Linked DNA regions of Neodiprion lecontei. The protein of the gene in region 2 interacts with the protein of the main gene of each other region in a pairwise test. Links are inferred from orthologs where the notes say so. Each region holds a gene or a part of one and is shown on either strand. Other genes may lie near its edges. The genes, in order: cdc42 homolog and unconventional myosin-IXa.

The links.
Region 1: the proteins of unconventional myosin-IXa (region 2) and cdc42 homolog interact in a two-hybrid assay, tested with the Homo sapiens proteins (3 studies listed by BioGRID and IntAct). The link is inferred for Neodiprion lecontei from reciprocal best matches to the Homo sapiens genes MYO9A and CDC42.

What each region holds. Positions count from the first base shown.
Region 1 is NC_060263.1:36,016,426-36,022,005, forward strand, and holds cdc42 homolog, read right to left. Parts: upstream 3,696-5,580; 5' UTR 3,607-3,695; exon of another isoform or gene 3,487-3,606; intron 2,988-3,486; exon of another isoform or gene 2,965-2,987; 5' UTR 2,941-2,964; coding exon 2,763-2,940; intron 2,437-2,762; coding exon 2,327-2,436; intron 1,977-2,326; coding exon 1,779-1,976; intron 1,694-1,778; coding exon 1,604-1,693; 3' UTR 1,543-1,603; exon of another isoform or gene 1,003-1,542; 3' UTR 782-1,002; downstream 1-781. UniProt on the Homo sapiens protein: Plasma membrane-associated small GTPase which cycles between an active GTP-bound and an inactive GDP-bound state. In active state binds to a variety of effector proteins to regulate cellular responses. Involved in epithelial cell polarization processes.
Region 2 is NC_060265.1:23,645,380-23,650,232, forward strand, and holds the start of unconventional myosin-IXa, read right to left. Parts: upstream 3,105-4,853; 5' UTR 2,730-3,104; intron 1,470-2,729; 5' UTR 1,419-1,469; exon of another isoform or gene 884-1,418; 5' UTR 601-883; intron 348-600; 5' UTR 339-347; coding exon 1-338. UniProt on the Homo sapiens protein: Myosins are actin-based motor molecules with ATPase activity. Unconventional myosins serve in intracellular movements. Regulates Rho by stimulating it's GTPase activity in neurons.

The DNA.
Region 1 (5,580 bases), on a different chromosome or scaffold from region 2:
ACGAGTTCAAACTAAACTAATTTCATCATTTTATTATCAAAGTCACGATTTAAAGCGCTGTTTATATAAAGGTAGTCAAGTTACATTTTTATGTAACATGTTTGGGAAAAGAAAGATATTTCACGAAACTTGTATTATATATTTTTTGAAATTTCGCGTAGTTTTTTAATAACGATTGAATATAGTAACGATTTTAAAGTGCGACTAGGATCGAAATAAGGTATGCAGGAAATGAATAAAATGTGGTAAGACTGAAATTCTCTGTGAGAAAATGCTTCGTAATATTTAAAATATTGGAGTATGATAATTAGTGAAAATAGTGTTATTGGTTTTCTCGTAAATGCACGCGTCGATCACGTAACCGTGTAATTGTGAGTAAGTTATAAGAAATCGATAAGACGAGCGACACTGAATTCAACATTTCTGATTGAACAAAGTTATACAATGCAGATAATATACACGCTGTGTTAGATATAATATACATGATTTATTTAACTTACAAGATACCAGCACGGACGTACGAGGGAAGGGCATTCATAATACACACGCGCGATGTATTAATCGACAACTGAATCGTAGGTGTGTCTCGTCAGTCGTTTTCATTGTGATTCGAATAACGACAAACGCGACAATCATCGTGGCTTTCAACGTCAAGTGACAAGTGGACATTAACATTGTCACCGGCCGCAAAATTGCTCTATCGGAATCATAACGGAAACGGTAAAATATTCTCTCTGGCGTCCGTGCGCTTTTTGATCAAGAAAAAAACGGATTTACTTAATTGTTTCTTTCATTATTAATTTATTAAAAAATTCACATTAGTAACTTATTATTAAAAATGCCTTATTGATTACTCAATATTAGAGTGGCGTGGCTCCCTATTTAGAACTCATGGAGGATTACTCCCGTCCAGGATGGCTGTTTCATTTCATGTTTATGTGTTTATTGTTTTTGTTTTTATAGGATCATGAAAGGTATTCACATTTAATACCGTAGTCCATCCTAAACAAAAAGTAATTCATTATCTCACGAAGGATATTAATCTATCTTACCTGAGTATGGTTACCCTCAAATATATATCTAAATATTATGTATAATGTATAATGCGTGTTTGTAAACTAATTGCACTATAAACGTTCAGTGTTACATTTTTTTTCATTTTTTTCTATTTCTTTTTATAAATCGGAAAATACTGTCTCTTCCTCAATCTGAAGCAGCCTGACGAATACAAATCAGGCAATGCAGGGGGCCCGTCTTTGTCTCAAATAATTTGATAATCCTAGCCAACATCTGTTCCCCGTGAAAATTATTTCCATCGTTTTTCCGGAGAACCATTTTATTCCTAACATTCATATACTCATTCTTGATAAACTTGTGAATTATGATGCCAAGACGTATTTAGCAAGATTGCTGTTCATTTTGAATACATAAATACCTAAGCGTCTGGTTCCTTGGAATATCTTATGCCAATTGATCAATGGATACAGCATATATTGTTCAAGGCCTGTACCATTCTATTTTGATAGTATATTTAAAACTTACAATGTCGGGCACTATCAGCCGTGCTCGCGTAGTAGTGGGATGGAGATTAAAAATATCCTCCCTACAAAAGGACACACTTTCTTCTCCTAACAGGTTCTGGAGGTTCAAGTGCAGCCAGGATTGCTTCATCGAACACGTTCTTCAATCCTTTCTGTTTATGTACAATGTGAATATTTTAATTTTACAAATACATGAGGATTGACGAGATTTTGTTATGAATGTTAAATGACCCATACTTGCGTTAGAGCACTGCACTCGACGTATTTCACAGCCTTAAGCTCCTTGGCCAACTTTTCTCCTTGTTCTCCTGTTATCGGTTTTTGTTTATTTTTTGCAAGCTTTTCAATAGTTACTGCATCATCTCGCAAATCGATTTGAGTTCCGACCAATAGGAAAGGCGTCTTCTGACAGTGGTGCGTTATCTCTGGTACCCACTGATAAGACATAAGTACATGTTATTATTTTCAAATACACTCACCGGACAATATCAATAAAACGTATATTCTTGTCTATAAGTATTCGAGTATCGTGTAATTCACAAACACTGGAGAGCCTCGACAAAACTGCAAGTAGCGACAACATTTTATATGAATTATAAAGCCGATAATATTCGATACTGAGCAACAATCTGAGAAGTCTTTTTGCATCATAGTTGGGGTAAATTTTGATTTAAATGTCACTGCAAACATTTCAGGGTTGGCTACCGGTTCTGTTTTTTCGCATCAACTAAAAGCTCGCTATCACTCTGATATTCGTAAGAAGAGAATGAAAAAAAAATTCATACCTTCTCTTTAACATTTTCAAATGAAGATGGGGAGACGACTGAAAAACAAACTAGAAACACATCCGTTTGAGGATAACTCAGTGGTCGTAGTCTGTCATAATCCTCTTGGCCTGTAAAATAATGAAATTTGTGTTCGTATAAGCATTGAATAATCGGGAAAGTGATTTAGTGGCATAATTGAACATCGGTATTATAAATTTCTAACAAAAACTTGCTTTGAACAATATTTCAGTATCATTTTATCCATGGTAATCTATAGAACTTTTTGTAAACAAAGTTTCTCAGCAATTATCGATTTGTTTCCAATTGTGAATCTTCAAATCTAGTCAAAAATTTATCCTTCCAAAATCTGCCGTGTGAAGAACGATTCGGAACAAAAATTTCAAAATGCACTACAATTAACCAATAGAGAAATGAAGTTTGAAGTAATACTCACCAGCGGTATCAAATAATCCCAAGGTATATGGTTCTCCACCGATCATAACCGTAACTGCATAATTATCGAATACAGTTGGCACATACTCGGAGGGGAATTTATTTGTGGTGTACGAAATAAGGAGGCAAGTTTTACCCACGGCTCCATCACCGACCACAACACATTTTATTGTCTGCATTTTTGTCTTCTCGCTCTTTGCTACCTGTCAATAGACCGAATCATGAACTGGAATTTGGAATAGATAAGATATAAGTCTACTAAACCGTGCTTACAGGCAGTTTAGGAATTCGAAGGGTGATTCAGAGATGAAATAAAGGCAGAAATAAAAAACAAAGGGGGTGGTGAATAGACAAACAGTGTAGGGGAAAAAATAAAATAAAATAGGTTTCCGCGTGACAGGACTGACTAATGCTTGAAATTGCCACACAGCTGAGGAGGACGTACAATCATGTGAGCAACTCTCCTATACGTGAGATAGTAATAGAGTTAGGGGATAGCAATGCGATTGTCACGAATTATTGCATGCGTATTCATTACGAGCTGTAATTAAGTATAGAAATGAGAGGGAGATTGCGGAGTAGTTCCGGGAGGCTGAGACGCCGCTTGTGTACATCGGTTAAACCGAGGTTCTAATTGGAGAAAAATACGCATATGCATGGTGAATGTGTTTTTAGAGTGGCCATTTTGCTGGGTACAGGTACATTGTCAATTCCGGTCAACGAACCTAGGCTTGTACCGAAGTCAGATGTAACCAACGTCTCGTATGCAGTTGTGATATTGTTACGCTACACGCCCGACACTGCGGGGCGGTTGATATTTGATCAAGTAAATCCGAAAAACTCACAAGTAACTGGGCGTCGACAACACTTCACTGTCAGAAGACTATGTTCTTCATAAGAGAAGAAACTTTGGAAGAGAAATGGGCGCCGATCGGGTTTGCCAACTTCGCGCCATCTGGTGGGGTTACTGTGAATCAGGCGCGATGACGTCATCGGCTAACTGTGGCGAGAATAGCAAAGACCGTACATCCGCTCGCATCATCGTTTGCAGAAAAGGCCTGTGCTTGTAATAGAAAACGATTATCATTCGACCTAGTAGTTACAGTTTCAGCGTTGACTGAAGAATATAAAGACGGATACCCCTGGGTAAATTTTTGTGACCAGTTTTCGGCGGGCAAGTGGGCCCAGGTGGGCCTGGGAGCTTAGGAGGGTTTGTTCTATCGACTCTACCTAACGGGCTCGCACCGACATTTGTAGCAGTCAAAGTTGTGTCGGTATGGAAGCTTGAGAATGAGTCGGTACAAAGTGAGTACGTAAGACTACTTGTCGACTGCAACTTAGAATTGTCGATCAATTCGATCGTCCCCGTCCTACCACTTCCTACTACCCCACCACTACCAGCGCCTACCACTTCCTACCACCCCCTACCACCTCCTACCAGCGCCTACCACTTCCTACCATTTCCGAACACCTCCAACCACCTCCGACCACCTTCGTCCCCCTACTCCTCCATGTATTCTATAACATTAATATTCATAATTATCCCAACAACTTTTCATTTGCTCTCTCAATCTTGAATTTTCGTAGGCATACAATCGAAACGCTGTTTTAGCATGTCGCAAGTGAAGTATTTACGTAAGTAAGTACTGGCTTGGGCTTACCACTGCGAAGACTGTGTTACTCGGAAGGTGAATGCAGCCAGCATCATGTCGAAATCGGTAACTCTCTGATGTTCTGCAATAAGCTCTCAACTCTACCGTTGGAACATCTCAGGGGGTGCAAGCGCACGACGATATAAGGTTGTCACACCAAAGCCTATTAGGGGTAACTGTGTTTATATTCTTCAGTCAACGTAGGAGCTGTTTGGAGGTGGTTGGCGGTATCTTTACATTCTTCAGTCAACGGATTCAGTAAATGGTGGAAACGACCGATTCCTGCGGTTTTTTTATCGAATTAAGCTGGGGAAAGAAACTGTTACCAATTACAATCTAGTCGGTAGATGAAGGAAATTGGAGGTTGCCGGAGCCGCTGGATTGTCGGTCACTCAAATTTGTCCAGCAGCTTCAAACTGTTGAACGAAATAACCATGTAGAGTCGTATTAATATGAATTATAAATCATAACGCGTAGATAATTGAAAGAACAGACACTACTGGACGGAGCACTCTGTACCTTAAGTTGCTTGCAGCTAGGCGTATATTTTTCTTACCATCAGAGTATGCTGACGTTTGATTGCCTTCAATAAGGCGCACGGTAATTGATAAATTTTGTCTCATGATAGATATTTCAAATTCTTTTCCTCGCCAATTGTACAATGTATCATAGTTAGATGTCGGTAGTCAAGACTTATTGGTGTCCAATTTCTAACTTTGATTGGTGTGTGCAATCGTATTAATTTCTCATTATTCCTGAAACACATCGTGAATTTAATCCAAACAATTAAAACCGATTTATGTTTTGTTTTTGATAAGATTTTTGTAAAACATTTCACTTACCGAGATTGATGGAGATGCTAAAAATATTTCATCCTACAGTTTTTCTACAAGCATATAGCTTCTAATTTAAACATTAGCATTTCCCTCAATTTATGTATTTTTTCATGAAGTACGTGCACAATTATCCGTCGAAGTGATGAAGTTTAATTGATGTTCATTTATTCATTTTTTTATTTTTTTATTTAGTATTGATACAGACGATCGATGACTCTGGATAATGTTTCATTTTTTGATCAAGGGGATGACAACACGTTAAATAATGATTAATATTATCTAATAGATCACTACTTTCAAGATTAAGTTGTAATACTAGATCAGGGAACGT
Region 2 (4,853 bases):
CTGTCAGACCACAAGTAGTCTGACTGCTTTTTGCGTAAATAAAACCTATAGTATTCCTGCTGAGCTGCATTTTTTGGCCATAACAACATCAGGGCTACTGGACACTCCGTTGGTCCGAGTCTTCTCTCTTTGCACACCTGCCCTACAGAATTGCTAACAACTTCGGCTAACTCATAGCTGTTAGCGTGGGTTGCGTCGACAAATCCTAACCGCTCGATTATACATTCTACAATCTCTGCGGATGATGTTTGTTTCGTGGCTTTGATTGAGAGTGCTTCGTATTCAGCGCTCCACTGGCCCACGAATACTTGCACTACTCCTGATCCGTTGCTGTCCATTTTTTAACCCTGAATGAATAATGATAATAGTTAATTTAACAATAGCAACAATTAGGTACATGCTAAGAACAAAGACAAACTTGTCTTTGTGTCGTGAAAATTCTATTTAACTCTGAGTTCAAAGAAAACTTAACTACATCCAGCTTTTTGTTTGCATAAGGAAAATTTGAACTTTGAATACTCATACCTATACAACAAATGCTTATAAATATTACAAATATTAGTTTTTTTCTAATCAATATGAACGCATGATTGGCTTTACCTTGCTCTTACTAGGGTTAATAAGATTGTCCTATGTCGTCTATAAAACACTTCAGAACCACTTCATCTCCTCTCTGCAACGTTGTATCCGCCTGACGTTGGTAGTGTTTAAAATACTTTTTACACATCTTGTTAATAAGCTTCTGATACTTTAGAAATATCGGTTAATTGTGTTTTTTTATGACTTTAAATATTGTTTTACTCAAACACTTGAAAGTTACACTCTTTGACAGTTCTTCGCTGTACCCCATTAACCGCATTCACATAGTAATCTGGTGACCAACCTTTTATTTCAAATCATGAAAGTATATTAATTAGTATGTTACTTTATGTAGCATTAGTTTGTCATTTTAATATACTGATTATTATAAATGTTGTTCTAGTTTTGTTCGTCGTGATACAATTAGAAACTATTTTGCCAAGTTGAATAGTTGTTTCAGTGATATGATTAAATATTGTAAGCTTTTTTGAAACTGTTTCAATATACAGTTGCAAATCAATGGAGGAGTCCCTTAACTAATAAAATACACATAAATTAACAGTCTCAATTATGAACGGAAACCAAAATATACTCTACATCTGTACAATAACAACTAAATTCCTTCAAATACTGGTTTGATCACTCATTTGTAATAATTTGTATGATATAATTCAACTCTCGCCTGCTACTATCGCTGCTGAAATTGAGACTGTTACACAATTTTTCCAATGGACTAGAAAAATCTATAATTTCTTGGAGTTAGGCAGCACTATTATGCCTTGAGTATTATGTGTTTGATGGTTATTAAATTCAATCAATAGTACGATCATTTGAGTTACATTTCACATGATGAATAGAACGAATCATTCCATAACGCAAAATCAGCGCTCCTGAAACAAAAAATAAAACACAGATATTAATTAATGATTTCTGCGAAAAATCATGTGATAGAAAATGGATGTTTACTTTCTTTGAACCTTAATCAATATGAACAAGGATGTTATAAGAAAATCTATTTACTTAGGGTAAGGAACTGAAAACAATCAGTACTTGCTTATCAGTAAAAAATGATGATAATGAATACCCGATAACATTCTGCAATTTTATTCTTTCAATAGTACAACAGAACTAGATGCCCGTATCTGATTTTAATCTATGTATGTACATACATGTGCATTGAGAATTTTCTAGTACCACGTAACATGATACCATCTAAAAGGATCATTCTCCGAAAAATTTATTTTTGATACATGACTATAATGTAAGCATTAGTCGTATCTCAATCAAAATGTGAATAATTGTAAATAATAAAAATATATTCAATTTAAGTTCTTCGTTTCGGAGTACATTGTACTGTGTTATCACTGCTCACAGCAAGAATGTATCATACACAATTCGTAAGCGTTGTGAATCATGTAGTAGTGTTTAACGTTGAATAACGAATTTCAACAATTTTGGCATTCAATAAAAGATATTTTGAGCCTGGTGTTGGCATATTTTTAAACAATCTTTTAACTCCTCGATATTCATGCGAATTACTTTGGATCCACGCCAAAATGTATTTCAGACAGAATCTTTGGTAAAAATATCTTGTTGTTCTCGTTTGATTCGAATATTAAATAAAACGATGAATTCGTGGTAGGAAAAAAGTGTTAAAAAAGACCGAATGGATTGTTGTATTGCAACAAAATCTAATTCTGACTTGATGCATACGTATTTTTTCTCAACCATGGCTGTAGAGATAATTAATTGTCTGAGGATGTGTTGAGTATGATCAAATGAACGAAATGATTCAGTAAAGCGATCAGTCATCAGTCATGTATGATGTGGATATTGCAACGTGAATATTTTGAGAGAGATCATGACTAGTTGGAGATAATTAGAGTATTGTGAGGATAAGCCGAGATCGAACAATAATTTCGACGTAAGAAACGTCACGTTCACGTCGAAACGGGTTATCAAATAGGTCAATTCTGACCAGCGCACTTTTCGAATCATAAACGTGTTGGGCTAGATCGGGGCTTGTCAAACTCTGTAAGCTGGCCTACGATCTTATTTTGGAACCAGGCTGGCTACGGCGATCATTAACTTCCGCGGGTGTCGGGAACCGATCGGCGGTATAGACTAAACATAACAGGATGCACCAATACCTTACGGCTTGCCGAGGATTCGATGGGCTTTGCGGTGAAATTCCTAGTGACAGAAACACTGCTGTACGCGGAACAACAAAAATCTCGGCTCTCACGCATGCTTCTTAAGCCCCGTGTGTTGCCGTCCGGGTCTGTCCCCTTCGCTCGAGGCACAAATACACTTCACCGTTATAGCGTTTAGCGATACTGTTCACTAGTCAGAAGTTTCCACAGTCACCGACCGAACACTACTTACTACGAACGAGATAAAATCAGATGGATAGTTATTCCAGGACAATGATTAAGCCACTAGGCCCTTGCCCAGTTATCGTCCTTCAACTCGTCGTCGGATCCTGCGTCTCGATATATCCACCATTTCGATTTTTACGATCACGTGGGTCTCCCGGCGGGTTTCTATTTGCTGGCGACCCAGCCACGTGACCGTCAGGACGGTATCGATAGAGAAGAGAAATGCCTTCGGAAGCGCTCATAGCTGAGAAGCCGAAAACCTACATTCCCCCACCACCGTGATTGGCGCTCGGCCCGCTAATTTCGTTCATGAGTTACTACCAGAATGAAAAAAAGCCCGGACAGACTGTCACTAGTCATGAAATCAGTATAAAATTTTGTATATTAAAATGATTATCTCGATGCACGAGCAGGAACCGATAACCGAGAGTTCGCGGTGGACAAACAATCTACAATCTAGTCTTTTGCGCCTGCAGGGTGCACAACTAAGCATGCATTCGCGTACAGCGGGTGTAAGACATTTATCAAGTGAAATTTTCAAAAAATCGGAGTTCTTTTTCCCTTTGCATCATTTGATAGGATAGAGAATTATAAACATGCTGTTCAATTTTTGGGCCGTAATTCGAATAATTTCGGTCGCTACAGCCTTTTTTAGGAAAAGTGATTTGAGCAGAAGCGTAAGACCTGGCGTGGAACAAAGGAACAAATCGACATTCCATTGCAACCGATACTGAATTCGCAAGTACTTCGGCGGCAAAAGAGTGCAAAAAAAATCCGGATTCCGATGTGAAAATTGACAAAAGTTTCAGCTATGGTTTAATTGAATATGGTTTAATGTTCGGCGCTCTTCAACAGTTGCTCAAGTGCAAGTAGTGTAATGGTGATGTTAAATTTTACGCAAAATTGATTCGCGGATTCGGTCTTCAGCTTTGTGTTGACTGTTTGTAGTCAGATCGGACCAAGATCAATTCTTGTCCGCTGATAAAGAATGCATACGAAATCAACCGTCGATAGTGTTTTGTAATGCAAATTACAAGGCAGAGCGCATCTCAACTGCTAACCACCGAAACTCTCTGGACTTTAAAGAAGCCAGAACAGCTCGTTAAAATGAAATTGCTGCTGATAACAAACAATTTTGAGAAAGCGGAAGGGACATTGTATGGATCTGGCATCGCCGATTGATCAGAAGTAAACAATTTATATGAAAATTCGGCTTTCGAAACTTTAAACGCGTTTTTCTCGACGCGTGGTTTTTCAAAACGGTGTACACTCTCAACGGAAGAGATTTCAAGCTATGCGTCTCAAATTTGGACAAACATTCATCACGACATTCTTTATCTTGCTATGGAAGCTTTTTGTTTTAGAAACATATTTTTTTAATAGAAAAACTGCGGAAAAACTAAGCTAAATTCAATGATTTTGCTTCAAACCACCGACATTTTGTCAATTTTAATTGAAACAAACATCCTCCATAACAAGCTTTCATACTGATTAATAACCTTTTTAAAAATTTAGCTTCAGATAATATTTACGGCCACAACCGTATACACCGTGGACTTATTTCTTTTCCAAGTGATTTGCAACAATGTAAAATAAATGTAAAAAAATTACAATTAACATTTAAAAATTCATTTTCTGTTCTTCGTGAATGCTTTGATCTGACATAAAAAAATCAGATTGATTGACGTATTTCAACTTTCAAAAAAAAAAATCGCGGAAAGCAGCTATTTTTCGACCCGTTACACTGAGATAACCCCTTGACTGCGTTAAAAAAAACAGAGGACACAATTACTTGCGTATGGGGATATTTATACATTAGATTTATTTCGATACGTTTACATGATAACCTTCATCTTTTTATTTTTTTTACCGCAAGTAGGTAAATCACCAGACTTT